4 linked regions of the Ovis aries genome follow. The protein of the gene in region 1 purifies or fractionates together with the protein of each later gene. This does not show direct contact. Links are inferred from orthologs where the notes say so. Each region holds a gene or a part of one and is shown in the gene's direction. Other genes may lie near its edges. The genes, in order: AP3M1, AP3S2, AP3B2 and RABL6.

The links.
Region 2: the proteins of AP3M1 (region 1) and AP3S2 purify together in Homo sapiens (co-immunoprecipitation; 3 studies listed by BioGRID and IntAct, counting the BioPlex papers as one, with this or other methods). This does not show direct contact. The link is inferred for Ovis aries from reciprocal best matches to the Homo sapiens genes AP3M1 and AP3S2.
Region 3: the proteins of AP3M1 (region 1) and AP3B2 purify together in Homo sapiens (co-immunoprecipitation; 3 studies listed by BioGRID and IntAct, counting the BioPlex papers as one, with this or other methods). This does not show direct contact. The link is inferred for Ovis aries from reciprocal best matches to the Homo sapiens genes AP3M1 and AP3B2.
Region 4: the proteins of AP3M1 (region 1) and RABL6 purify together in Homo sapiens (co-immunoprecipitation; 3 studies listed by BioGRID and IntAct, counting the BioPlex papers as one, with this or other methods). This does not show direct contact. The link is inferred for Ovis aries from reciprocal best matches to the Homo sapiens genes AP3M1 and RABL6.

The regions. Positions count from the first base shown.
Region 1 is NC_056078.1:29,225,179-29,232,840, reverse strand, and holds the start of AP3M1 (AP-3 complex subunit mu-1), read left to right. Parts: upstream 1-3,681; 5' UTR 3,682-3,855; intron 3,856-3,866; coding exon of another isoform or gene 3,867-3,931; exon of another isoform or gene 3,932-3,952; intron 3,953-4,406; exon of another isoform or gene 4,407-4,868; intron 4,869-7,662. Other genes in the region: ADK (adenosine kinase), read right to left, coding at 3,867-3,931. UniProt on the Homo sapiens protein: Part of the AP-3 complex, an adaptor-related complex which is not clathrin-associated. The complex is associated with the Golgi region as well as more peripheral structures.
Region 2 is NC_056071.1:20,605,947-20,612,919, reverse strand, and holds part of AP3S2 (AP-3 complex subunit sigma-2), read left to right. Parts: intron 1-4,006; coding exon 4,007-4,098; intron 4,099-4,788; coding exon 4,789-4,900; intron 4,901-6,973. UniProt on the Homo sapiens protein: Part of the AP-3 complex, an adaptor-related complex which is not clathrin-associated. The complex is associated with the Golgi region as well as more peripheral structures.
Region 3 is NC_056071.1:22,312,052-22,319,024, reverse strand, and holds part of AP3B2 (AP-3 complex subunit beta-2), read left to right. Parts: intron 1-4,917; coding exon 4,918-4,993; intron 4,994-5,132; coding exon 5,133-5,207; intron 5,208-5,461; coding exon 5,462-5,557; intron 5,558-6,973.
Region 4 is NC_056056.1:1,046,982-1,054,612, reverse strand, and holds the start of RABL6 (rab-like protein 6), read left to right. Parts: upstream 1-3,261; 5' UTR 3,262-3,461; coding exon 3,462-3,591; intron 3,592-3,850; exon of another isoform or gene 3,851-6,106; intron 6,107-7,631. Other genes in the region: CCDC183 (coiled-coil domain-containing protein 183), read left to right, coding at 449-549, 1,152-1,312, 1,501-1,669, 1,755-1,865, 1,934-2,030, 2,639-2,757. UniProt on the Homo sapiens protein: May enhance cellular proliferation. May reduce growth inhibitory activity of CDKN2A.

The DNA.
Region 1 (7,662 bases):
GAGGGAAAATGAACCAAGTGTCTAGTCTCCAAACTTTGGAATAAGAGAAGTTAGTGGCGCCACTAACACACGTACAGACCATGGAAAAAGGTGCAGATTTAGGACAACAGATGAATTTAGTTTGATATATACAACTTTAAAGTGTCAGCAAGACACTGCGTAGGAGATATTCAGCAGTTAAAATTAGGTCTGAAGGACATAGAGGTAGAGAGATCACACAGGCGAAAGTGTTCAGTACAAAACCTGGACCCCTTTATACCTTCCAGCTTCAGTCAGACCAAAGAGATGTAGTTCCCCAACAGAGGCAGCTCTCTCCCATTTCTACCTCCAAACAAACTTTTCTTTAAAGCCAGACACCCTATTTTCCACCTGGCTAGCGCTCTGTCACCTTTTGGAGTGCTCAGGTGTCATTTTCCCACCAAGAAGATGGTACCAGTTCTTCGCTCTCTCACCTCGTGTACCTAGTTTTCAGCACCATGCCTAAAATAGCAGGCACTCGAAAGACTAAAAGAATAGACTTGGCATGTGCTCAGAAAGCCTGGGAAGGAACTCTATCCTCCCAGATGGATCAAGAAATGAACTTGGATGACATTCCCAAAAGAGAGAAAAGAAAGTGGTCCTAAATACAGGTAATCATCATGGAACACCTTTATCCAGGGAACAGTTCCCCAAAATGCTTCTGGACTTCTTTCAGGCCTAAATACACCACTGTAACACAAGGCTCATTCACAGGTGGCTTGAAGATTAAATGAGATAGCATATATAAAGCACCTAGTGTGCCTGGCACTCAATTAATGTTCCCTTCTGTTCCTCGGCCCAGTGTGAAAACATGATAGAGCTAGCTTCTTTCCAACTTCAGTAACCCTAAAAAGCCTAGAAAGATATTTTTTGAGAAAGGGAAACTAGACTTGTCAGATGCTCTCTCTGGAGCAGAGTTTTTACAACCTCCACATTATTGTCACTTTTGCCTGGATAATTTTTTGTTTGGGAGGCTTCCTGTGTAGGAGGAGAAGGGGGTGACAGAGGATAAGATAGTTAGATAATATCACCAACTCAATGGACATGAGTTTGAGAAAACTCCAGGAGATAGTGAGGAACAGGGAAGCCTGGTGTGCTGCAGTCCATGGGGTCATGAAGAGTCAGACACAACTTGATGACTGAACAACAGCCTTTATAAGCCATCCTCTTAAAAGTTAACCAAAACTGGTAGCTAGCCTCTTAAATGTCAAGCAAGTCATCGTAAATAAGGCACACAATCTAACCACTCAGTACATTATCACACCGAGATCCTTAAAGACAAATGAATATAATGAAAGTACGAATAGCCAATCACAAAAGGCCTTCACACAAAATGAAGAGATTTATTCCAGTACTCAAGTGTCTAATCCTACCTTCATGTCTACACTTAGTAAAGACTTACAAGTTTTAGGTAGACAATCACTGCTGCTGCTGCTGCTAAGTCGTTTCAGTCGTGTCCAACTCTGTGCGACCCCATAGATGGCAGCCTACCAGGCTCCCCCGTCCCTGGGATTCTCCAGGCAAGAACACTGGAGGGGGTTGCCATTTCAAGTTTTAGGTAGACAGACACTAATGACACGTAAAATAACATTATACACGTTTAAGAATTATTAAGTATCATATGCTCATGTATTACAACAACAAATTATACACAGTGACCAAAAAACAAAACAAAAAACAAAAGCTGAGTTAATAGTTCACTAGGGCTTTTGATCAAAATGTGAAGTTAATAAAGTTGACCTCGATAAAGTTAACTTAACTTCTCTATACCTGTTTCCTCCTTGGTAAAATGGACATATAGTGTCTACCTTGAAGGGTGGTTGTGGGATTGAATGAGTTAAAATAGGCAAAATGCTGAAACAATACATATTAAACATTATTTTTTATGATTATTTTTAAGGCTGCATAGTCAGAGAGAAGCATATCTTGGGTGACTGTATAAAAGTAGGTATAGTAAAGTCAAATAACAATGAACTTGCACCCAGATTCTTTCTGTTCAAACTTCAGTTCCTTTATTGTTTCATCTGGGCTTCCATTTTCTCATCTGTAAAACAGGAAAGCACTTTGAAAATGGAGGAGCAGAAGAGAAAAATCTAAGGGCTGCATCTTCAGTAGGATAGGAGGGGGAAAAGTTGGAGCTGTCTTCCAATTTGGTACAGGAAACTTTGTTAAGAAGGTGCTTTTCAAGGAAAGCATATGCCTTTCTTGCAGGAAGGGGGACCCCTTCCAGGGCCCAAAAGTGGGCTCCTGTCTAACACTCAGAAATGAATTATCTAAGGAGACACACATGCTGACCAAGCAAGGGACTTTATTGGAAAGGGACGCCTGCCGGAGAGCAGTAGGTTAACACAACCCAGGAGAACTGCTCTGTCACAGTTTCTTGAAGTCTGAAGTTTTAGGTGATGGATTAGTTTTCGGGTTGTCTTTGGCCAATCTTTCTGATTCAGGGTCCTTCCTGGTGGAACAGGCACCGTTTAGCCAAGATGGATGCCAGTGAGAAAGATTCTGGGAGATGGTTGGACACATGATGCCTCCTTTTAACCCTTCCCAAATACATCTGGTTAATGGTGGCTTGTTAATTCCGTGTCCCTTACCATGACCTCATATGGTAAAATAACTCATGGCAAATGGTTATTACAGTGCCTGGCCAGGGTGGGCGGTTTCAGTTTGCTTCTCCTAACAACTCAAATTCAGGTAGGTCTGACTTAAAAGCCTTTGCTTTAGTCTGTAGTTTGAAAGCTTAAAACGAAAACAGACAACCTGAGTCGTGGGGGAGAAAAAAAAGTTTATTTTCTTTATATAAGGTAGGCACACTAACACTTTGGCCCTTTGAAGGTAATATGAATATATTAAAGATACTGGCAGGGATTTCATAATTATCCATTGAAAACAGCGTGAACAGACCACCGGACTCCTAAGTGATCTTTTCAAACATGAAAGATTAGTTCTTTCAAAAGTGAAGAAGGGTCATGTTGGAAGAAACTAAATTTGTATAATCAGGAGTGTCCCAATAGTTTTAAATCAGTTTTATATATCTAGCTTTACATAGAAAACCCACTGCCTTCCAAAGAGCATTGCAAAATCATCCAGAAACGTGCATACTCCACTTTATACTTATCAGAAACGAATATTTTAACCAGTAACGTTTTGTAAGTAAAAGTTGCAACATCAAATCATATGTTAGGTGCGGAACTATCTCCACTGCTGCCAAATGTGCAAAGAAGAAAAATTAACCTTTCCTAACCATTTTGGCAAACGCCATCCCCACGCCCCCGACCCCACTCCAGCAAAGCCTCGGAGGCGGGGTCTTGGTTCCCGGTAGAGGATTTGCAAAGGTACCAGCATTCAGATCTACCTAAGTGCTAAAAGGAAGGTCAAAGCGCCCTTCCGCGACCTTTACGAAAAATACCCAAGAATTCTATCTTTGCCTCAGGGTAGGCCAGTCGCTGGGCATTCTCCTCGTCATCTCCCAGGGAAGAGGAGGTGACCGCGGTTGACTCGGCTCAGATCGGGTCCGGTCCGGTCCTCCCGGGTCGCACAGCCAAGTGGGGGCGGGCTCCCACGTGGCGCCGGCAGCCTGCCCAAAGCCGGCTCCGCACCCCGGCCGGCGCTCTGATTGGTCAAGGGCGGCGGAGCGTCTCAGGAGCCTGCGGCGACTGGGCCAGACTGGACGGACAGCGGGCAAAGGGTCGCAGCCCCGCGGGCAACTACCAGAGCTACCCGTCCCGTGCGTTGGCCTCATGCCGGGGGTTGAGGTTACCACCCAGCGCCTCTGTCGCGCAACCCTACGTGGCCCCTGGCTAGCGGCAGGCATCGTCGCCCTCCACCCTATGTCAGGTAGGGCTCACCTCAGCGCTGGAGGCGCCTCCACCTTCAGCTTTTTGGGCTTTGGCTCCTCCTCAGCCGCTGCCATCTTCGCGCTCCCACCTCACTTACGCGCCACGGCTCGCCCCACCCCTTCGGCTCCCTCTCCCCGCCCCCTGGCCGCATCACCGCCTCCTTGTCACTAAGCCCCGCCCCTTTGGCTCCTCCCAGTTCGTGCCTCTCCCAGCCCCAGTCTTTTGGCCCTACCTCTTGGCCTTACCCATTGGCTGGTACGCAGCTCTTCCAGACCCCGCGCGCTCAACTCCAGGGACACCCCAGACTGGTTTAGGCTGCAGATGAGCGCCTGAGTCCAAAAGAGGTGAACGCTCCCATTCTTCTAGACCTGGATGATTCAGAAGATGATATCCTAAAATTCGAAAGACGTCTTCTCATTCAGCGTCTTCCCGCTCGTTTACTCTTCCCAAAACTATTGGTTATATTGATGCTGTTACTCAGGCAATCTACTGGGCATCCCAACTGCAGGGTCCTCGCGGCTTTCTCAGCTGTCTCAGCCTCGGTCCGGAGAGGACCTCGCGTCTAATCACTGACGGGCCCAGGAGCCGGGGTGAGTGTGAGGGCGGGGGAGAGAGGGGTGGTCTACGGACAGGGGACATCACGAAAGCTGGGAAGTAGACTGAGTAGCTAGAGCTCCGGCTTCCAGCCAGGGGTGTGGAAGCGCCTCTGGTGCTGTGAACCGAAGCCGCGCCTTCCTCCCGGCCTTCCGGTTCTTCTTGCCAGCTAGGCCGGAAGGGAACGGTGCACCTAACAGCCCAGTGTTTTCAGACCTCAAGCTCAAGAGGTTCAGGCTCATTGGGGTCGCTCGTCGTGCTTCGGCGCGGGAAAAAGGTCTTGTCACGCACGGAGAGCTGGAGTACCAACAGCTCGGACCTCAACCCCAGGCTTCTGCTTTGGAGGACAAAATCCCTAGCTGACGCGAGCGGGCCTCCTGTTAGAGGGTGGCACCTGGATGAGCCTCGGGGAATACGGTGAGAAGGGTGTTGCAGTTCTTCAAAAATGAGTTAATAGGAATCTAAACTGAGGAGGTGACAGTTGGATTTGGGTTGAAGTTGGAGCTTGATTAAGAAGTTGATAGTGTAGTAGTAGTTGCTCAGTCGTGTCCGACTCTTTGCGACCCCACGAACCCCCCAGTCTCCTCTGTCCATGGGATTTTCCAGGCAAGAATCCTGGAGTGGATTGCCATTCCCTTCGCCAGAGGATCTTCCTGATCCAGGAATGGAACCGTGGTCTCCTGCATTGCAGGAGAATTCTTAACCCTTTGAGCTACAGGGAAGACTTGTTGATACTTGTTTCAAATTAGTAGTCTTCACCTGAGAAGGGTTTCCCAAGTGGCTCAGTGGTAAAGAATCTGTCTGCCAATGCAGGAGACCCGGGTTCGATCCCTGGGTCAGGAAAAAATGGCAACCCACCATTATTCTTGCCTGAGAAATCCCATGGACAGAGGAGCCTGGCGGGCTACACAGTTCCATGAGGTCGCAAAAGAGTCGGACAGGACTTAGCAACTAAACAACACCACATGAGAAGGAGGAATTTTGTAGGACTTGGGCTATATCCATTTTGAGATAGTAGTTTAGATGGAGATGAAAGGTTGAAAAAAAAAAAACATTCTGATAAGCAAACCAGAAAGAAACTTTCCAGGTGAGAACCAAAACAGGTGAAGTTTCATATAATTTGGTAAGAAGTATTTGTTTTGTTTGGCAGACACCTAACAGCGACATGAAATGCTGCAAGGATCAAAGGAGGAAGTTGAAGTCTGAGAATAGGTTGTTGGAATTGATGATTAAGAAGGCATTGGGTCATTTCCAAGAACTGCTTTAATAAGAGTCAGTTATTGAGAGGAGAGACTGCAAGTGTAGACCAATGCTTCTTCATGTGGAGCATGAAGAGAAAAATTGTTTGCAAGCTCCCTAAAATGTTTGGGGTTTGTTTGCTTTAAAGGATACAAGGCACTTTATGAGCAAGTAACTAATGTATAAGATTAAAGATTCAAGAAAGAAGAAGTAAGACCTTGGAAGAGAGGAGAGGGGATGGGATCAGAATTAGAGGTGAAAGGATTACTGTTGCAAAGGACAGAGGACACTTTCAGATGAACCATAGGAAAAGTAGAGGATTGAGATGAGAGAAAAATTACCGGAATCCTAATATCCCTTTAGTTGGGAAGCTCTCTTGGCAACAAGGTTTAGCTTTTCTTACTGAATCTTAGGATTTTACAGGGTTTCTAAACAGTCAACATAATAGACTGTTGGAGTTCCCTGCAGACTAGATATATTTAAGTAGCTCTTCACACATAACAAATGGTATTTGTAGAGAGGAGAAATTCACTTTCTCAACAAATGACCTTTTCTTCTTTTGGACAGAGAAAATAGAAGCCATCATCTTGCAACCAAGTATACAAATCTGCTTTCCTTTTGTTTAAAGAAGGGAAAGTGCCCCTTCTCCTTAGGAAAGACACATGCTTTCACTGAGTTTCCCAGTGCCATCCTCCCCTACCTTCTCAGAGTTCCTTAACTTATTCCCTCTCTCCTACATCATCAGCCTCCCTTCTACTCACATTTTTCCTTCAGCATTTAAAAATATCCTTCCTTAACTTTATGAACTATTCCCCTTTATTTTCTTGCCTTTTTATCTCCTTCACAGCTATAGTTTTTGACTGTATCATCTACTCTCCTTATCTCTGTTTTTCCCATTTCTTGCTATGTCCTTTTCAGCCCACTGTAGTATATCTTTTTGCCACTGTTCCACTGAGCTACAATGAAACTTCTTTCACTGAGATCACCAATAGCCTCTAAATTGTACATTCTCATCAGGGACAAAATTTGCTTCTTATGAGGAAAAAAAAATCATACTTTTTATGTATAAAGCACAGATATTTATGGTACATAAAGAGGTGTACAGAAATATTCTATGATTTTAATAATTTTATGGAGGAATGGGGAATTAATAATGAATGGGGTTCTGAAAAGGCCTCTTCAGATGCAATAATGAAAAAAAAAGTTGAGGAACACTGTAAAATAACAGATATTTTAAGTTTTTCTTATAGCTTGACCTCTTTGTGCCATTTAAAATGTTTACCGCTCCATTGTTCTGGAAACACACTGACTGACATACTCTAGTTACTAAAAACTCTGCCCCCTTTTTTTTCCTTATCCATCTTCAGCCACATTTTGTCACTCTTTTTGTAGGCCGACTTGACCCATATGCTTCTCAAATGTTGAAGTTCTTTCTCTAGGTTCTCTTCTACTATATACGTTCTCTGTTTGCAGTTTTAGCCTCCTTTTGTTATAATTTCCATTAATAAAAAATCATAGTTACAGTACTCACAAATCTGTCTCCAGTTTGGCTTCCCTCTGAAGCACCAGACCTCTGTATACAGTGGTGTTTTGAATATATCCATTGGGGTCAAATATATCCGGAATTGGGTCAGATTATATAGGACCAGAACTAAATTCCTCCTTTTCCCTCTCATGTCCACTGCCCCGTCTCTACCCCCAAAACTTTTCTCAACCCTAAATGTTTCTCTTACCTTTTCATTTTGCTTCATCTGTATTGTCAGCACTCTAGTGTAGGCCACCACATAAGTCATCTCTCAGCTAATGTCACAATATTCAATTGCCCAATTATCCAGTTTCCATAGTGTGATCTTTCTTAAAACTATAAATTGGATTGCATGAATCCCCTGCATAAAACCATTTTAAAAATGACTTTTTGCATTGCACTGGGAACAAAGTGAACCAATATCTGCTTTTCTCCATTTTTATCTCA
Region 2 (6,973 bases), on another chromosome or scaffold:
AGGGCTCAGTGAGTGATAATGCAAGTTCGAATTTTCCAAAGACGTTCCTCTGAAAAAATAAGCATCATCATTTGCCTCCTGCACCCCGACGTTTAATTTCTTCGTGGCTAGGTTTCAAAATGTTACGTACATAATTGGTGGACTGAGAAAACCATAAAGGGGAAAGTGTCAGAAAACTTACGTTCAGGCCTCAGCAACACCTTTTTTTTTTTTTTTTTTTTTAATCGTTGTGTCAAGTTAACAAACCTCTTTCAGACTTTATTTCCTCTTGTTAAATAGAATGAATAGAAATGAAAGAAATTCTTTTGGGTACCTTTTAAATAGAATTTTATAGCTGGGTTGCATTTTATTAAATCATGTCGATTTATATTAACATTCAGTAACTATTCAGTTTGCATTTGTGGGTCAGTTTTTCTCAGGTTTTTAAAAGTGTTATTGTGATATGTTACATACCTACAGGTCACCTTTAAAAAATATACATGGAATGGTTTTTACTACTTTAAAAGTTATGCAACCATCACCACAATTTTAGAATATTTTCATTATCCCCAAAAGGAATCCCTACCCATTAGCAATTATTCTGTATTTCCTCCTCAATTTCCCTAGTCTTAGGCAACCAATGATGTGTTTTCTCTCTCTCTAAATTTGCCTGTTCTGGACATTTCATGTAAAATGGAATCATACAATATGTGGGTTTTTGTTACTGACTTCTTTCTTTTAGTATAATGTTTTTGAGGTTCGTCCATGTTTTAGTGTTACCAGTTCTTTATTCCTTTTTATTGCCAAGTTACATTCCATAGATAGGTTTCCCAGGTGGTGCTAGTGATAAAGAACCTGCCTGCCTATGCAGGAGACATAAGAGACCTGGGTTCAGTGACTGGGTGGGGAAGATCCCCTGGAGGAGGAAATGGCAACCCACTCCAGTATTCTTGCCTGGGAAATCCCATGGATGGAGGAGCCTGGTGGGCTACTGTCCACAGGGTTGTATTGAGAGGCTAGTAAAGTAACTTGGCACATATCGCATTGAGTGGATCTATCACATTTTGATTATCCATTCATCAGATGCTGTTTCTACCTCTGGCTCTTGTGAATAATTCTGCTATAAACATTCATGTACAAGCTTTTTGTGTGAGTGTGTACTTTCATTTCTCTTGGGTATGTCTCGGAGTAGAATTACTGAGTCACATAGTGACTTTGTAGTGGTCATTTGGATGAACTGCCAAACTGCTTTCTAAAGTGGCTATACCATTTTACATTCCTATCAACAATATATAAGAAGTACAGCTTGGGACTTCCCTGATGGTCCAGAGGTTGAGAATCTGCCTTCCAATGTAGGGGACTCAGGTTGAATCCTTGATTGGGGTCTAAGATCCCATGTGCCCTGGGGCAACTAAGCCCATACCGCAACTACTGAGCCTGTAGGCTGCAACTAAGACTCAACGCAGCCAAAAATAAATATTTTTTTAAATTCTAATTTTTCTGCCTCTCTGTCAGCATTTTCTATTATCGTTTTGATCAGAGACATTTTAGTAGGTGTTAAGTAGATTCTCCTTGTGGTTTTGGTTTTTTCTAATGACTGATTTTTTTCGTCCCCTTACTGACATTTGTATGTCTTCTTTGGAGAGCGTAGGATTTTTAAGAACTAAATTAGCTCCTTAGTGAAAATAACCTTGGAAACTGCAAAGTACTAAAAGATATGAAGGATTATGAAAATCACTGACAGATGTAAGCATTTGGTAATTTACTATTTTGTTGAATTAGAAATTAGGTAGCCTCACCATTTCATACTGCTTACCCACTGACTACCATCACTTCCCGGTACAGTCAGATAAAAGACTATAGTTTTCAAGAATTTTTTTGGTTTAAAAATGCTGGTGCTTAGCGTGTTTTGTATTTCTGGGTACACAGAGTTAAACATTTACAGCATCCTGGCATCTGTGAACTTTGTGAGTTCTTTTAAATGGAAACCAAAAAATAGTGATTGATTTACTTAAACTTACAGTGACCAGTTATTAGCAAGTTTTTATTATTCATCCATTCATTAAATATGGAGAGCCACTGTGTACCTGTGTAAGTCAAAGTTATGAAAAGTAATTGCTCCACAATGATGTTTCCTCTTTTTTCTTCTGTTTCTTTTAAATAACCAACCACTTCTAGCCTAAATTCAGTGCTCTAGAGGGAAAGGGGTTAATGTTACTTGAGTTTATTTTCTGACTCTGAGGGTAAGTCCAGTCTGATGGTTTTCTTAAGCTTTGCTACTCAAAATGGTTCTCAGATCAGCAGCGTTCTTATTACCTGGAAACTTGTTAGAACTGCAGTCTCAGGACCTACCCCAGACCTACTAAATTAGCCTGCATTTTAACAGTATTTCTAGGTGATTCATTATTCAAACTCACTGAGTTGTTGTTGTTGCTTTTTTTTGGCTGAGACATCTCGCTTGAGATATCTTAGTTCCCCTGCCAGAGACTGAACCTGTGTCCTTGGCAGTGAAAGCGCAGAGTCCTAACCACTGGACTGCTGGGAAAATCCCATTATACATTGAGATTTGAGAGCACTAGTCTAGAGCTTTTAATTTTGTCTTTTTTTTTTTGGCCAAGAGACATGTGGGATCTTAGTTCCTCAACTAGGGATTTGAATCCACACCCCTAGCAGTGGAAGTGCAGAGTCTTAACCACAAGACTGCCAGGGAAGTCCCTGTTTTTGTTTTAATAACTGATTTCTCCATATCTTTTTTTTTAACATACTTAATATGAACCTCTTATGTATAAATAGAAATCAAATGTGGGTCATCAAGAGATCCCATCACATTTGAGCTTTCTGGTGTGTAGTAAGTGAATAGTAAGTGAAAAAAGCTATTTATAGTTCTGCAATTGTTCAAGATTCAAATCTCTCAATAGAATATTTTCTGCTTTCTCAGTAGTACTTTGTTGGTCACACAGCATCTTATATATAATGTCTGTATTACTGGTATTCAGTTCAGTTTAGTCGCTCAGTTGTTTCCAACTCTGCAACCCCATGGACTGCAGCATGCCAGGCTTCCCTGTCCATCACCAGCTCCCAGAGCTTGCTCAAATTCATGTCCATCAAGTCGGTGATGCCATCCAACTATCTCATCCTCTGTCGTCCCCTTCTCCTCCTGCCTTCAGTCTTTCTCAGCATCAGGGTCTTTTCCAGTGAGTCAGTTCTTCGCATCAGGTGGCCAAAGTATTGGAGTTTCAGCTTCAGCATCAGTCCTCCTAATGAATATTCAGGATTGATTTCTTTTAGGATTGACTGATTTGATCTCCTTGCGGTCCAAGGGGCTCTCATGTAGGTTTTTAAAACATGTACATGATTACATCTTGACTTCCTTACAGTGGTAGATCTATTGACATTTGTTATTTGTCCTGGCATAGATGTTTTCTCGGAGAAGGCAATGGCACCCCACTCCAGTACTCTTGCCTGAAAAATCCCATGGGTGGAGGAGCCTGGTGGGCTGTAGTCAATGGGGTCGCGAAGAGTCGGACACGACTGAGCGACTTCACTTTCATTTTTCACTTTCATGCACTGGAGAAGGAAATGGCAACCCACTCCAGTGTTCTTGCCTGGAGAATCCCAGGGACGGGGAAGCCTGGTGGGCTGCCATCTATGGGGTTGCACAGAGTTGGACACGACTGAAGTGACTCAGCAGCAGATGTTTTCTAGAGTAATATAAAATGTTTCAGGATTGTGCCTTCTAGGTATTCTTTAACCTTGTATGAGAATTCTTTGACATTGTATGAGAAATATCAGCTCACCTAGCAAGACAGTAATGGTTAGGGACTAGATATCTAGGTAAATATACCCTATTCTGTTTCCTGTAACAGAGCCTTTTCCATTTTCTATAGCTTCTCCTTGTATTTTTCGTTTACTCATCATTTCTGTCTTTTCAAGAAGCTGGTACCAAGTGTTCAGATCATTCCTGTTTGGAAGGGATATAGTTTTTCAGACTTTTCCACTGACTCGCTTTATTTCTTTTATTCCATAGCCAGAAGAAATTCAGCAGCAGATTGTTCGAGAGACCTTTCATCTAGTTCTCAAGCGGGATGACAACATCTGTAACTTCTTGGAGGGTGGAAGGTAAATCATCAGTTTTCTCCCCATATACCAGTTTCGGGTGGCCTTTATCATGCCATTATTGCTTCTTCAGGCAGTGCTTAAGTGTCTGGTGAGTATCTGATGCAGTTGAGCTGAGCTGATCATAGTCTGCTCAGGGAGAGACTCAGCTCTGTTTGGGAAGCTATTAAATGATTGTGCTTCAGATATTTATATGTTTGGTTCCTGGGAGGATGCTGCTGTTCAGTCACTTCAGTCGTGTCCAACTCTGTGCAACCCCGTAGACGGCAGCCCACCAGGCTCCCCCGTCCCTGGGATTCTCCAGGCAAGAACACTGGAGTGAGTTGCCATTTCCTTCTCCAATGCATGAAAGTGAAAACTGAAAGTGAAGTCGCTCAGTTGTGTCCGACTCTTTGCGACCCCATGGATTGCAACCTACCAGGCTCCTCCACCCATGGGATTTTCCAGGCAAGAGTACTGGAGTGGGGTGCCATTGCCTTCTCCATCCTGGGAGGATGGGTAGAAGAAAAAATGAAGCAAAATGGCTTTAGGCACCTCTGCCAAATTTGGTTGTCCTTCAGCTGGTGGAGATGGCCTATTGTTTGGCCTACCCTGCTGCTTTCTTTTGGGCCCGTTTTCATTCCTTGGCACAGAGCTTCTCTTTGATATGTTCAGTTCAAATACAAGCTTTTAAATGTTTCCCGTCTTCCACAGTTTGATTGGTGGCTCTGACTACAAACTGATTTATCGGCATTATGCTACCCTCTACTTTGTATTTTGTGTGGATTCCTCAGAGAGTGAACTTGGGATCTTGGACCTCATCCAGGTATGTGTAGCAGGTAATGATGGTAGCCACTTCAGAAAGTTTGGTCTGGATTTTTAGTAGCTAAAAATCTGTAGTAGCTAAAAATTTTTTATCTGTATGTAGATCCTTAAGTCAGTCTCTTTATCGATACTGGTAAACATTGCTGCATGTCCACCAGGTGGTGCTGTGAGAAAGCTCCTTAGCAGCCCTCAACCATTCTTAGCGCTTTTAGGTTCTCTGCTTCTCCAGCTCACTGCCTTTGGCTTTCTTTTGAGTCTGACACCAATTCCTGTATGTATACTCCCCCCACCCCGCACCTGAAGCAAGTAACTCAGTTCTCCATGGACACTCACCAGGGGTCCCCCAAATTTACCCAGTTCTGACACTTATCTACCTGAAGATGGACATTGACGTCAGGTCTGGGTTGTCTGTCGCCTGTGCATTTGACTGACAGCCTGTAGATTGACTAGGCCCAAGATTGCCTCCTCACATGATTTCCTCCTCAGGTTCAGTTAATTTGCTAGAGTGGCTCACAGAACTTTATAGAGAAACATTTTACTCTCTGCTACCTTAATGTGAAAAGATATAACTTAGGAACAGTCAGATGGAAGAGATGCATAGCACAGGGCAGGGGAAAAAGGGTGTGGAGCTTCTGTGCCCTCTCCAAGCGTGCCACCCTCCTCAAATCTCCACGTTTACTAACATAGAAGCTCTGAAACCTATCCCTTTTGGGTTTTATGGAGGCCTCTTTACATAGGCATGATTGATTGTATCATTGCCCATTGGTGATTGATTGAGTCTGCATCCCCTCTCCCCTCCCAGAGATCAGTAAGTGGGACTCAGAGTTCCCAGTCATACAGTTGGTTCCCATGGCAACCAGCCCCTATTCTTTGATGCTTTCCAAAAGTTAACCTTATTAGCAGAACAAGGCAACCCTATCACTTTGGAAATTCCAAGGTTTTTAGGAGCCAGCAACAAGGATGAATACCAAATACTTGTCATTATAAATTATACCATCATGTCACGTTTTGAAATTTTTTTTCAAGTATCAAACTAAATGATATTTTAAAATACATACTTTATATTTTCACTTGTAATTCTAGCCTGAAACAAAGGAACTTGATGTTTTGTCTAATACGTACAGTCTTGACATAGGTAAACATGATTTTTTAAGGCTTTTTGAAAATTAGAAATGGCTTACAGATTTGTTTTCATTACTTTCATGGAAATTGAGGTATGTGGGACCCTGTACTGGGAACCATTAATTAGGACAATTCCATTATTTGGTACATGATATTCTGGATAGACTTTGTGTGACTTCAGCAAGTCACTTAAGTTGAAAGCACTCAAAAAGAGCATGTGTAAAACCTAATAACACCAATTATAGAAAACTCCAGCTATAAAATATAAACTTTACTTCTTTACAACTATATTTTGTTAAGATAAAATTAAAGAAGCTAAATTTAATAAACTTTAGGATAAAGAAATGGAAATTTTGAATGTGTATTTTTATTTTACATATACTGTACTCTTCCAAAAAGTTATATTCTTAGATATAGCAAATTTTCATTTTATTTATATATTTTACGCATTCACATTCAGAAAATGATTTAGTATTAGTTTAGAAAGTTCAGGTATCATATTCACTTATCATATATAAAAGTATAAATAAATACTGGAAATAGCCAAAAGGGACTCATCTCTGTGGTAGTTTTAAATGCTTTCTTAACACCCGAGTCAGATTGGGTATTGAGAGTCAGTGTGGTGTAACAGAAAGAGTTCAAGATCTAGAATCAGAAAACCTGGGTGTGAGTCATGGATCCCCCATCTGGTATAGAAATGTTAGGTTGTAAAGATGGAAACAGACTTGCAGAGAACAAATGGATGTTTGTCAGGGATGGAGCATGGAGGTGGAGGGCAGCACAGGCAACGGGGACTGAGAGTGCAGACCTCTGGGTGTCAAACAGATGAGCCTGGGATATAGTATACAACTTAAGGAATGTGGCCCATAATATTGCAATAACTGTGTTTGGGAACAGATGGTTACTAGTCTTATTGTGTTGATTGTATCGTAATATATGCAAATGTCAAATC
Region 3 (6,973 bases), on another chromosome or scaffold:
AGTCAGACACAACTGAGCGACTTCACTTTCACTTTTCACTTTCATGCCTTGGAGAAGGAAATGGCAGCCCACTCCAGTGTTCTTGCCTGGAGAATCCCAGGGACAGGGGAGCCTGGTGGGCTGCCGTCTATGGGATCGCACAGAGTCGGACACGACTAAAGTGACTTAGCAGCAGGAGCAGCAGCAGCTCCCATCTAGTGGGTTGGAACTTGGGTGGTGAGGGGAAGGAGGACGGTGTATATCACATGAAGTGAGTGTATCTGGCCTCAAACTCCAGGTTTTACCTTCCTCCCACCCCACCTGCTGGCTCCAGTCACCCACAGAGTCCCTCAGGTCAGGCCAGGGCTCGGGTCACAGTGAGAGCCCTGGAGAGGGATCTGACTCCAGGAGATGAATGTTTCATGGCCTTGGAGCGTTGCTGTGTCTCTCTCCCTTCCTCTCCATCTTGGGAACATCAGCTGGTGGAAGTGAAAGTGAGGGACCCAAGGTGGTCTGACCTCAGGTGGGGGCTGCTGTCTGCTAGTGGGCCGCTGACAGTCTTGCCTGTGCTATGTCCCCCAGCCCCTCTCTTCCCCTGAGTCCCCTCTCCTAGGGTCCTGGACCCTCCCAGGAGCCTGGAAGGTGGGTACTAGGCTGGGAGTGCAGGATCAGTGTGGGTACCCAGCACCACCCTGGGTGTGGACACTTGACATGGGCTTGTGGCATCTGTAGGGGAGGTGAGGACGCTTGGGTGTGAGGAAACCTGCTGCAGAGAATTCCTGAAGGTAAAGGGCCCCGGAGTCAGCTCCAACTGGTGCCCATCTGACCCGTAAAGAAGTCAAAGGATCTGTGAGGCTGGATATATTTGATCTTAGAAGCCTAAATTTATCATCAGAAATCACACATAGGAGTCCGCAGGCCATTTTGGTGAATGAGATTAGAGTGACGCAGTTTTGTCAAAAGGCTGTATGTGTGCGCGATGTGGGTGGCGTGTGTCTGTGGAGGCCATGTGTGGGTGTGCATGTCTAGATGAGGGTGTGGGGCGGTACAGAGGGCTTGTGGTGGGTGTCTGTAGGCGTTTGCAGGTGAGGCGTGTGGGTCCACAGGTGTGTGGCTTTATGTGCTGAGTGTTTTTGTGGGAAGGTATGTGTGGTATATGTGTCTTTGTATGTTTCTGTGGGGATTACGGGTGTGTCTGCAGGGGGTTTGTTGAGTGTGTGTGGGTTTATGTAAGAACTACATATATCTGAGGGATGTAAGTGTGTCTTTGGGGGTATGAGTATGTCTCTGGAGTGTAGGTGTCTCTGTGGGGACAGATGTGAGAGTATATTGGTGATACCAGTGTTTGATGCGGTGTTGGGGTGATGGGGATCTGCAGGGGTGAGTTGACTGTGTGGACGTGTGTACAAAGGATCCTGGGTGCGTGATGTGCATTTGTGTATTGGGGAAGATGGTGCCCAGTTCTGTCATTCTCCCCACGCCCTCCGTGCTGCCCAGGCCCAGCTAAATGGTCTGTACCTCTGTCTACACCCATCTGTCCTGAGTTCAGCATGCCTGGGACTTGACCACCTGGTTTGTGTTTGGGAGAGGGACGAGGTGGTTATCTTCTGACCCTCACTTGGCCATAGGCAGTAGAAAACGTCCTCTGGTTCGGGGGGACATCTTCCTGAATGGAAGCTGTTCATTCTGTTTTTTTGTTTTTTTTTTTTAACTGAAGTATAGTTGATTTACAATGCTGTGTTAGTTTCTGCTGTATAGCAAAATGATTTAGGGACACATACACACACAAACACACATACATATATTTTATTATATTTTTTTCATTTTCTTTTCCATTATGGTTGCTTTTTAGGATATTGAATCTAGTTCCCTGTGCTATACAGGAGGACCTTGTTGTTTATCTGTTTATATACGGTAGTTTGTATATGCTAATCCCAAACTCCTAACTTATCCTTCCTCCACTCCCTTTCCCCGTTGGTAACCGTAAACTTGTTCTCTGTGTCTGTGAGTCTGTTTCTGTTTCACAGATAAGTTCATTTGTGTCATATTTTAAATTCCACATATAAATGATATCACATGGTATTTCTCTGACTTACTTCACTTAGTATGATAACCTCTAGGTTCATCCATGTTACTGCAAATGGCATAATTTCATTCTTTTTTTTTATGGCTGAGTGGTATGGAGGGGTTCTAGATCAATATGCGTGGGACTGGACATCTTCTCCAACCCTCATCCGACAGCTAGCAAGTCCTCTGTGTTCTGGAAGTCATCATCTTTCTACTTTGCTTCCCATCAAAAATGTCTTCACAAGAAACACTTGTAAAATCCTGGGAACATCAGTTTCTTAGCACTCCTCCCGTCTTTTCTGATTTTATCTGTTAAGCACTCGCACATTTCTGCAAAACGCAGCCCTGTGACTAGGTGTCTGTTACGTCAGGTTCTTTCCTTCCTCTCAGCATTTATCACTTACTCATGTCTCAGCATCAGCACTAGTCACACTTGCCTCTTTATGGCCGTTAGCATGCTCTTCCCTCTCCTAGAATGGCTACGTCTATTTTCTGATTTTCTGTTGCTTCTAGGTGTTTCACTTCCATGACTAACTTTGCACACACTGCTGTTTAATTCCTGCCATTGGTAATACCTCTCCTGGCAGGGTCAAAGCTATGGGTTATCTGAGTATCATCTGGGAGGTCAGAGAATAGACAGGTCTCCATTCACAGCTGCTCATCGCATTTTGGAGCTGCCTGGACAGTATGAGCGCATCTGTGGTCCTGCCGCTCTGTTAGCTGTGTAGACACACATTTTCCATGAGGTGGTTTCGCGTTTCTCTGCCTACTTCTTCGGCCCTCAGCCGCTGGGCCTCTGGGTATGCTTGGGCAGGTTGTTCACTCCTCAAGGGCACATGGTCAGGGAGTGCCAGACCACGCTCCGCTCACCGACTGGGGAGCAGCTGCTCAGGGCTGTGTCCACCTGGAGGGGCAGGGGCATGGCAGGGGGCAGCCCTGCCAGTGAGTCCTGAATATAGACCCGAAGCTTGTATCAGTACTTTATTTTTAATGTTAAACTTGTATTCACCATATCCCAAATATTTTCCTTTCTGTTGCTATTGTGGGCTGAAGTGTGGTCTGATATGTTGAAGCCCTAACCCCCAGTACCTCAGAATGTGACTGTGTTTGGGGACAGTCTTTTAAGAGGTGATTAAGTGAAAAGGAGGTCATTAGGGCGGGTCCTAATCCAATACGATTCACTTATGATGAGAAGAGGAAACACAAAGGGAAGACCATGTAAAGATAAGGGAAGACAGTCATCTGCAAGTCAGGAAGACAGGCCAGCCCTGCTGACACCTTGATCTCAGACTTCTAGCCTCTGGAATTGCAAGAAAATACATTGAGGTGGTTAAGCCACCCAGTCACTCTGTGGTACTGTTACAGCAGCCCTAGGGAACAAATACAGTTTTGCCTTGTTTTTTTTTTTTCTTAAATTTAGTTTATACACAAGAGTTGAAAAAAAAAAAAACCTAGCATCTTATTACTGATAATTTTATGACCTTGAAAATTAAAATTTCCCCTCTTCCATACATTGAAATAATTTTTAAAAATGATTCATCTACTTTTGTCTCTGGTGGGGTCTTTGTTGCAGCACGCAGGCTTTCTCTGGTTGCGCGAGTGGGGGGCTATTTTTCACTGTTGTGTGCAGGCTGCTCATTATGGCTTCACTTGTGGAGCATAGACTCGAGACTCGCAGGCTTCAGTAGTTGCAGCTCATGTGTGCGGGCTGAGTAGTTCTGGCACATGAGTCTAGCTGCTCTGAGGCATGTGGGATCTTCCTAGACCAGGGATCGAACCCATGTCCTTTGCACTGCAAAGTGGATTCTTAACCACTAGACCACCAGGGAAACCCAACATAATTTAACTGTTAAACAAATGTGGGATTTATTTTGGTGTGAAGTACATGTGCAAGTTAAATTCTTTGCTACGTAGCAGTTGTCCCAACAGCATTTGTTTAAGGGGAGGCAAAAGTTTCTTTCTCCGATTGGTGTTAATTGTTCCTAATGTATCAACTTAGATCCATTTGTGAAATTTTTAATCTGGCACCACACAGCTTTTATCATGGTCATTTGTTTTGTGTTTTGAATTCTGGTTAGGTGAATTGTCTGTCATTGTTCCGTTTTTCTCATTTCCATCCCCTTTTGCCCCCAAATTCTCTGGAGTTCTCACCTATTGATTTTTGTTTCTGGATGAATTTTGCAGTCACTTCAGGAAGTCTAACAAAAGGCCTCCCTTGAAATTTCAATGGCCATTGCATGACATTTAGATACTGGCTTGGAGACTAACATTATTCCCCTCCACCAAGTGCAAGGGGTTATTTATTTACATCGTCGTTTACCCGGGACTTCCCTGGCAGTCCAGTAGTTAAGACTAAGCCTGCCAATGCAGGGAGTATGGGTTTGATCCCTGACTGGGGAGCTAAGATTTAACTTGCCTCTCAGCTGAAAACCAAACCTTAAGAGAGAAGCAATATTGCAGATGTTCCTTGGCTTGCAGGTGAGTCACTCCAGTTCTCTGTATCCACAGTATTCTCCCTGCATCTCTCTCTTCACAGGGCCATCTCCTTAAAGCACGCCAGACGTATTGAGTTAGAGACCCACCCTCCTCCAGTATTAGCTCATCGTAATTACAGCTGAAACAATTCTGTTTCCAAATAAGATTACATTCTGGGTACATTCTTTTTTGGGAGGATCACAGCTCAGCCCCGCAACATTGACTGACCCACATGCTTCTCCCCACCCTAAGTCCCCTGATCTGTATTTTACCACTTTCCTTTGTGGTCGAGTCCTGCCTTCCCTGCCCAGGTCCCTTCTTTCTGTCTGAATCCTACTGATTGATAGCCCTGTCCCCACCGTTGTGCCCTCAGCTGACCTTTTGTGTCCCCACCAGGCACGATGACCTGAAGGCGATGCTGGACACCAACAAGGATTCGCTCAAGCTGGAGGCCATGAAGAGAATTGTGGCGGTGAGGGGGGTCAGAGGGGATCCCTTGGGGGAGGAGCTTGCGGATCCAAGAGCCCTCCTTGGCTGCTTGTGGACCTTCCCCCAGTGAGTGCTGGCATCCTCCCTTCTTGTTCCCCCCCTACCCTGACCCCACCTCCTAGATGATTGCCCGGGGAAAGAACGCCTCAGACCTGTTCCCCGCCGTGGTGAAGAACGTGGCCTGTAAGAACATAGAGGTGAGCGCTACCAGGGAGGAGTCTCCCTCGTCCACCTCCAGGAATAAACCGGAGCTAGTTGGGGATGAGAAAGGGGACAGCCCAGTCCCTGGTCCAGGAAAAGACCCCTCCCAGATGTCCCTGAATCAGACGTGGATCAGCATGATGGGGCCAGGGTACCCTGGATGCTTTCCCTGTGGACCACAGCCACCCGGGGTGAGGACATCTCTCAGGACGGGGCCCCAGTCCCTGCTGAGAAACCCCCTCTTCCCCAGGTGAAGAAGCTTGTCTACGTGTACCTGGTGCGCTACGCTGAGGAGCAGCAAGACCTAGCCCTGCTGTCTATCTCCACCTTCCAGCGTGGCCTGAAGGTCAGAGGTCTCCATTTGCCTCCCTGGGGTCTGGGCCTTGATGGGGCTGTATTGGAGGTGTGGACTTATTCACAACCTAAAAGTTGAGAATTAGGTTTCATTAGGTGGGCGTTTTTAGGACTTCAAGCCTAGGAGGCAGCATCTAAGTAACCCTGACAGAACTGCTCCAAGGAGGTGAGGGGAGGAGTCAGGTTATATGGAAGTTTTGCAACAAAGGGCAGGTGGTCTAACATCAAAAGACAGTTGTTAATGAAAGAAAACCAGATAACCCGGGTTAAGGAGTTTGGTGCTTTTCTGTGTGTGGGAAGATGCGAGAGTCTGGGCTCACTGAAATCATTCCTTTGATGTGCACCGCAGCTATCTGCGGCCAGTATCCTGTGTTTTCATATCCTGAGTTTCTCCGGGCTCACCATGGGAAGTGGCTGCAGTCTGATGACTGCTAGATGGCCGGTGTTCTTTCTTCCTGAGGTCCCTCAGGGATCACCAGCTCACTGTCCATGGGGGCTGCAATTGCTGATGACTGTGACATCCTTTGTTTGTCGATAGGGCAGGAAATAAATTCCGTTTGTCAGAGGAGTGGGCCCAGGGAGAGGCCTGAGTGCAGGGGTTGGGGGGTGGGCGTCAGGCTCTGGAGGCCCTTTCCTACCTGGCTAAAGTCAGGAGAGTCAAAGGCGCCTGTGCTAATGGCTGCCTCAACTATGAATCACTTGAGCCCCTGACACTGGCCTTCACCCTACTGATGTAAAGGGATTGAGGCCCACAGCCAGGCAGAAGTCAGCCTTCTTAAGACAGAGTAATGTGTGGGGAGCCCGCTGACCTGGATTCCTCACCTCTCGGTGTCAGAGCCTTGGCACTGGCTGGCTCACCTGGTTTGAGTATCTGCTAGGAACAATGGCTTTGGAACCTTTTCACCTGAAACTGGGTGAGGAGGACAAAAGGGTTTATTGGAAACAAATGAGCTCCATGGAGAGGAAAACCACAAAGCTCACCAAGCTGGAGAGCAGCCTCAGACGTGGAGACTGGGTTTGACAGTCTGCAGAGAGAACATAAAGACAAGACCATTCCATTTTCAATAAGGTTAGTACAGCCAATGATTCCTTGAAAGTAGGAAGAAGTTGATTATTCGGTTTAGCCCCCGAAGAAATAATTGACTTGTCTTAGATGCCCCACTGGATGTAAAATATCCACCTTTAAAGACCTGGATCGGGACTTCCCTGCTGGTCCAGTGGTTAAGACTCTGCCTTCCCAATGCAGGGGACATGGATTCGATCCCTGTACTAAAAACTAAGATCCTGCATGCCCTATGGCGTGGCCTCAAAATTTAAAAAAAAAAAAAAATATATATATATATATATAAATTTTTTTTTTAAAGACCTGGATCACTTTTGTGGCAATAAAATGCTCTTTGAGGCAGGT
Region 4 (7,631 bases), on another chromosome or scaffold:
GGCTGGGCATTACCTGCAGTGGCCAGGGTGAGGGAGACTGCTGAGCCCCAACCCCTCCCTGGCGGGACGCGCACAGGCACACACCAGTGGCCGCAGCACTCGCTTCGAGCTGCTGCTACTGGCTCTGGGCTCTCGGCCAGGTGTGGCCAACCCCACCCCCGCACCCCGCCTCTCAGCTGTAAAATGCACTCAGCAATGGCCCCCCCGGAACCCAAGCCCCTCTGAGAAGCTCCACTAAGCCCTGCCGCACCAGCCGCTTCTGGTTCTCCTCTGGATGGAGCCACTCGAGGGCTGGCCGAGGAGGGAGCCAGTTAAGACAGAGGCGACTCTGAAGGGTACCCAGCTCTTGGGTGGCCTCCCCTGAGGACGTGGGGGGCATCTGACGGCCCACACAGAGCTCCCATGCCCTCCCTGCCCGCTGGCTATCCTTCCCCTCTGCTGCACCCAGTGAGGAAGAGAGAGGCCTCCAAGGCTGACGTCGAATACGAAACAAATGTGACTGCTCTGGTGGAGAAGGTCAAGACTGCTGTGCAGTGCTCCCACCTCTGGGTACTACTCCCTGACTCCTGGGTGTGGGCAGAGGGGCAGGGGAGGGACCCGTCCCCAGCCCAAGGCCCGGCCGAGCCCGGCCAGGCTCTGCAGACACCTTCACGTGAATGGACACACAAAGCAGCCACAGATCAGAGTGGAGGGCCTCCTGGGACGCAGCCAGCAAACCTGAGCTGTGGTCCAGGGTCACACAGAGCCCACGGGAAGTTGAAGATTAAACCCCGAGGGGGTGGCCTCCACCTCCGACTCCTTCCCCTTCCCAAACCAACAGCAGCTGCCTCTCCACCTGACCCCCCTTTTACTTTAATCCGCTCTGAGATTATTATTAGCAAACCTTGAGCTCCTGTCCATGGTCCTGACATAAGCTTATGCCCCCTCGGACAAGCGACTCAGAGCCACTCGGCCTCTTGGCGGTGGTCGCTCCGGCTCTCCGTTGGGGTCGTCTGCCCGCTCTGCCTGTCGTGAGGGCGGCGTGCAAGAACACACACCGAGGGCCTCGCGGGCCCTCCACACACTGCCGCGGTCGACGCTACTGACCACTGGGGGCCAGAACCAGCTGCCTCCCGGCTCACAGCTGCTGCTCACCCCACTGGCCCTGCCAGGACATTGCCGGCCGGTTCCTGGCTCAGAAGGGCACGGAGGAGGATCTGGAGCAGCAGAAGGAGGACTGTGAGGAGAGGCGGGCGCAGCTGGACGCCTTGATGAAGAGGCTGGAGATAGAGGAGGCCACGCTCAAGTTCCGCCAGACGCCCAGCTCCATCAGGTACGCGGGTGGTCCCGCCTCTCTCTGCACTGACAGCACCAGGCTTGGAGCTGAGCAGGCTCGCTGCCTCAGGGCCTGGCAAGGGCGCCCCCCGCGTCTTAGCTCTTGAGCCCAAATTAGCACAGCACTTGCTCTGGACCCCGCCGCTGCGCCCTCGGTCTGCCACCTCCCACCCTCATCCTCAACAGCTTCAAGTCCGTCGAGAAGAAAATGAACGATATGCTGAAGGAGGAGGAAGAGCGGCTGAAGCTGGCTCACAGCAAGATGGCCACGAGCCAGAAGCTGCTGCTGACCATCCAGACCGGCATCGACAACCTCTACATCCGCCTGATTGGCATCCCGCTGCCCACCGGCCAGGTACCAGCGGAGCTGGGAGGAGCCCCCAGCACAGAGGGTCCCTGGGAGGGGCCAGGGCGAGACAACTGGTTCCTCGCCGCTACAGAAGGAAGCAGCGCCCTCGACCACCCTGGACATGTACAGCAAGCTGGCGTACTGCGAGGGGAGGCTGCTATACCTGGCTGACCGAGTGCAGACGCTGGCTGGAACGGAGGAGGTAGCCCTGGGCCAGGGGTGCCTGCACGCCCCACCTGCCCCAAGGCTCACTGGCCCCGTGCCCTGCAGGTCAACAACAAGGTGAGGGATATGCTGGAGTCCTCTACCCTGAAGGAGAAGCAGAACACCAGGATCAGCTTTGAGGAGACGGAGGAGGACGTCATAGGTACAGGAGGCCCAGCAGCTGGAGAGGAGGCGGGGGCGGGTGGCCGGCCTGAGCTGTGTAGAGGCAGGGGCGAGGGGTGGCACTAGCTGCATACGACCAGGGTGGCCTGGAGGGACAGTGGGGGCTAAAGCAATGGGGAGGCCGCGTCAGCTGCACCCACGGGATTTTAACCGATGGAGGTGATGACAAGGCACCAGTGCCAGTAGGCAGGCAGGGGGACCTAGGCCAGGGCCCCTACGGGGGTCTGTGTGGGAAGGGCAGAGCAGGGCACACAGTTTAAGACCCTTCCATTCTAAAAATTCTGGGGCGTTTGCGGCCTCCGGGCTGTCCTCCTCTTGTCTGGCACCTGGCCCTGAGGGATTCAGGCTTGGCGTATAGGGTAGATATTAGCAGTCGAGTGTGGGCTCCGGAAGAACTGGGGGAACCCTGGGCTGTCTCTCTCCCCGAGTGTGCGAGACCCCAAACGCCAGACAGAGAGTAAGAAATACAGGTCGTTGGTACAACGGGCCCTGCCGTGAAAGGGCGCCGGAGGACAGCCCAGGATCTGGGGACACAGGCGGGGCAGAGGGGCTTACGGGCGCGGCTGCCCTCCCCCTCCTTCCTTGCAGAGACCTTCCAGTTCGCCGACGTGGACCACAGTTACGTGCCCTCGCGGGCCGAGATCAAGAGGCAGGGTCAGCGGCTGATGGAGGAGAAGCTCAAGGCGGCCAAGAAGAAGAAGAAGTGACCGGAGGAGGAGGAGGCCGCCCCGCCCCACACCCCGCCCCCACGCTTGCATTGGCTACACAAATAAACAGTTTTCCAGGACTTCGGGGCGCCGAGGGGACGCGGATGCAGGGCATCACGTGGGGAAGTGTGCAGGGGAGTGGGATGCTCGGTGTGGGTCTGGGCTCTGGGATTCAGGGGCGAGGGTGAGTAGGAGGGTCCAGGCCGGGGCACGGACGGGGATCCGGACTGAGCTGAAATCCGGGGGACAAACTCGTAAGGCGGGACTGCAGAGTCAGGCCCTTTGCCCGCACCGCGCCGCCCTCCCGTAACCCTCGCGGTGCCCGGTACCCGCGCGCCCCGCGCCCGCAGCATTCTGCGCATCCGCACCTCGCGAGCCGCACTCCCGTGGCCCTCGCGGCGCCCCGTAGCCGCACGCCCCGCGCCCGCAGCGCTCTACGCACGCGCGCTGCACCCCCGTGGCCCTCGCGGCGCCCCGTAGTGCGCGCCCCGCTGAGCCGGCGTCAAGATGGCGGCGCTGACGAGCACAGAGCGGCCGCGCCGGGGGCCGTGGGGGCCGGAGCGGAGCCTCCGCAGCTGAGCCCCCGAGCTGCCCTGCAGGCCGGCGTCCGCCCGCCGGACCCCGGGACATGGTGCGACTAGCGCCGCGCCGCCGCCGCCGCTGAGCTCGCGGGCCGTACCGGGCTCGGACGTGGGAGCAGGAAGATGTTCTCCGCGCTCAAGAAGCTGGTGGGGTCGGAGCAGGCCCCGGGCCGCGACAGGAACATCCCGGCCGGGCTGCAGTCCATGAACCAGGCGCTGCAGAGGCGCTTCGCCAAGGGGGTGCAGTACAACAGTGAGTGCGGCCCGGCGCGGGGGCGCCTGCGGGGCGTGTGGGGTGGGTGGGGGCCCGGCCGCGCCGCCCGGGACTCGCCGAATCCGGGCAGCGCCCGGGCGCTCGTCGCACCCCGAGGGCCTTGCGCTCCGCGTTCCGGCGAGCCGAGCCCTTGCCTGTGCCTGCGCGGATGGCGGGGGCGCCGGGGCGCTCCCTTGGGGTCGGGAGGGGACGCGGCCCGCCGAGGAGGGCCCAGGGCAGCGCAGGACCGGGGGCCGGGGCCTCGCCCGCGGCTCTGCCGTCTGGCCTGTGGGTCACTCCGCAGGAAGGCGGGCCCGGGGGCGACCGGCGTGCGTCCCGTGTGCACGGCGCGGTTGGTCCAGGCGGCCCCTGGCGCGTCTGCGGCACCCTGGCTGGCCCAGGTGACCGCGTCTGAGAGGAGTTCTTACGTAACGCGGGCGAGTCTGTGGTCTGTGACCGGGTCTTAAAGGGGTGGCGGGCTCTCCGCCCGCGAGCCGTGTGGCCACCCGCCGGAGGACGGAGCGGGGGATTCCGCTGGCCTGCTAGTTTGACCTACGGGGTTTTTCTTTGTAGACTTGGTATTCGGTTTGAAGAGAGAATGTCAGCTGCGCCGCTCGTTCTTGCTCCCCTTTTTAAAAAAAGAAGCATTTGTAAGAGATATATTTAGAAGGGCTCCAGAAGGAACAGACCCTTGTTACTGCGGAGACTTCTCTTCTCCTGTGGGAAGGAGTTACTTACCCGATGGCCTGAAAGCCCAGATCGTTTCCAGTCCTCAGCTATAAATTATGTAAAACTGTTTAAGCTCCTAGACGCTGACTGCCCTCTTGACCTCTTTAAAGTTTTTCCATCTTGCTGGCTTTTCCGTAGCGGTATTTGAAGTTGTTTGTTTGTTTGTTTTAATGTGTTCTCTGCTTCTAAATCTTTCCCTCTGGAGTATTTCTGTATATTGCTACAAGATACCGGACATTCCCCCATTTCCGACTTTCAGGGGAGCCTGCCAGTCTCTGTGATGACCCCTGTATTTCAGTTAACAATGTGCCATGTTAAGAAACTGATTGCAAAGACTTTGAACTTAAAAGAGGAATCGTTTTGCAGGTATTCTACCCAATTTTGTGTGTGATTCTCTCACATTCCCAGAAGAGAATAGTAAATCAAAATACTCCTTTTCAGGGACTTCCCTGGTGGTTCAGTGGATTAAGCTTCCACCTTCCAGTGCAGGGGACACAGGTTCGACCCCTGGTCGGGGAACTCAGATCCCACACGCCCAGGAGCAGCTAAGCCCACGGCCACCACCAGTGAGCCCCCACACCCCAGCCAGAGAGAGGCCTGTGCCGCAGAGACAGCCTATGGGCCACAGTTAGGACCGACACAGCCAAAAGTAAATAAATATTTGTTTTAAAAAACACCTCATTTTCACGTCTTATAATTCACATTTGGTTCCTGTTATTTAATTTTATTCAATTCAGTTCAGTTGCTCAGTCGTGTCCGACTCTTTGCAACCCCATGGACTCCCGCACGCCAGGCCTCCCTGTCCATCACCAACTCCTGGAGTTTACTCAGACTCATGTCCATTGAGTCAGTGATGCCATCCAACCATCTCATCCTCTGTCGTCCCCTTCTCCTCCCGCCTTCAATCTTTCCCAGCATCAGGGTCTTTTCAGATAAGTCATCTGTTCGCATCAGGTGGCCAAAGTATTGGAGCTTCAGCTTCAACATCAGTCCTTCCAATGAACACCCAGGACTGATCTCCTTTAGGATGGACTGGTTGCATCTCCTTGCAGTCCAAGGGACTCTCAAGAGTCTTCTGCAACACCACAGTTCAAAAGCATCAATTCTTCGGCGCTCAGCTTTCTTTATAGTCCAACTCTCACATCCATACATGACCACTGGAAAACCATAGCCTTGACTAGACGGACCTTTATTGACAAAGTAATGTCTCTGCTTAATTTTATTAGTTATGGTAGTATTTGTTAAAACTTAATCTTACTCCTTTGGAAACTGGCCTGGAAAGTGTTCACCTGAAAAGCCCTCCCTGGTGGACATGCCCCCTGGTTGGGGTTGGGGGGTGGGTCAGAAGCAGAAAGGACACTGGCGTCCTTCCAGAGAAGAGCCCCCACTTCAGGTACTGGGGGGTGCGCGGCAGCAGATTCTGAGGTGGAGCAAAGTGAGTGAAATGCAGAGCGGCTGAGAGAAACCGAGCCCTGTGCCCGGGTGGCCTTTCAGGCTGATGCTGCCCCTGTCGTGGGCCAGTACGCGCTTTTCAAACTTTTTTTTATTTCCTTTATTAGTCAGCAGAAAAGAACATTTCTAGTCTGTATTTTCCGAAACATCTTACTTAAGGAAGCACCGCAGCCATATGATAACTACGGACTCAGGATTTTTATGGGTGAAGAGCTCTCATAGAACTTTGTTCTCGTGCAGCAGATAAGTCGTTTCATGCAGATTGCTGTGATGGTGAGGAGTGACTCAGATGCACAGTCCCAGCATACACATCACAGTTAGAATCGAAACCCAGGTGAGACACGGGACCGTATCTGCGGGTCAGAAGCCATTCGCGTGTAAAGTGGCAGGGTGCTCCCTGAGCTGTCTGCCCTTTCTGCCCCTGGTGGGCCCGGGCGGTCAGCTGTGCTTGGTGGGGTGAGGTGCACTGGCCTTGTCGGTCCTGCGCCCTCGCTCGGGGCTGCATTCAGAGTCCTGGCCAGTCAGATTTCAGTGCTAGAACTCAGCGCCTTGACAGGTTGGTCACGGGATGAGAGCGCGTTTCCTTTCGGAAATAAGCAGCTGCGTCTGGCAGACTGTCGGGCCTGCCCCAGCAGGGCTGACCTGCAGGTCCCTGAGCATTTGCTGCCCGTGGCGTGCGCCACGCTTTCCTTCCTAGGTTTTCCTTCCCTGGCATTCATCTGCTTAGCAGATATTTACCGAGCGTTCATCAGTGAAAACCCAGACCGCAGTCTCTGCATTTCGGGGCTTACCTTTCAGGGGAGAGTGGAAGGCAGGCAGCGGGCACAAGACACGCCGAGGAATTAAGCACGTGGGACTGGCTGAGACTGCTAGGCGGAAGGTTAGCGCCGGCCCCACGGAGGAGGGCCGAGGGCGGGTCACAGTGCGGTGAGGTCCGGAGAGAAGCGTGGGGCCAAGGCTTTCGCGCCATCCCCCATCCCAGGGGCCCCGCGAAGAGAGACCCTGGAGGCTGTGTTGGCAGGCGCTGCCGGAAGGAGGGGCCGGCTGTCCAGCGACCCCTGCTGGCGGCGCCACCGAAGGGCACCGTCGGGTTCCAGTCCTGCCTCCTGCCGAGGAACGCGTCGTTCCCATCCAGGGTAAACCGGAAGCTTTCTTTCCTATTTTGGAAAAAAGGTTCCCTGTTTCGCTTGCAGTGTGTGGCAGTCTGAGTAAGTTACTATAGAATCAGGGAGTAGAAGAGACTCTGCGGCCCTTAGCCGATCCTGCCTGCGGCGCTCTTCCCTTAGAATAAAAGGGACAGAAAGAAATGCAGGGGTTCTGCTCAGGAAGACGCCCGCGCGCTTCTCGGGGAAGGCTTCTTGCCACTTCCGGGTGAGTCTTAATTAAAGGGTTTCCAGTGAGTCACTTGATTTATTTGAGTGATGTCTAAGTTTCTAAGATTGATTTGACTTTTTTACTTAGAAGTAGAGATCAGTTACTTTTTTTAACCAGATGAAACCAGGTCTGTTTGTTTATTTCTGGTATTATACACTTTCTTCTAATTAGCTTTTTGAAGAATAGATTTCAAATTTTAAAAGGATTTCAGTTGGAGAGAAAATTAAGGCTTTTCATTCTCAAAACAGAATAGAAAACAAATATATGTTAAAGTTGTTCAGTTCAGTTGCTCAGTTGTGTCCGACTCTTTGCGACCCCATGGACTACAGCATGCCAGGCCTCCCTGTCCATCACCAACTCCTGGAGTTCACCCAAACTCGTGTCCGTTGAGTCAGTGATGCCATCCAACCATCTCATCCTCCGTTGTCCCCTTCTCTTCCTGCCTTCAATCTTTCCCAGCATCAGGGTCTTTTCCAATGAGTCCA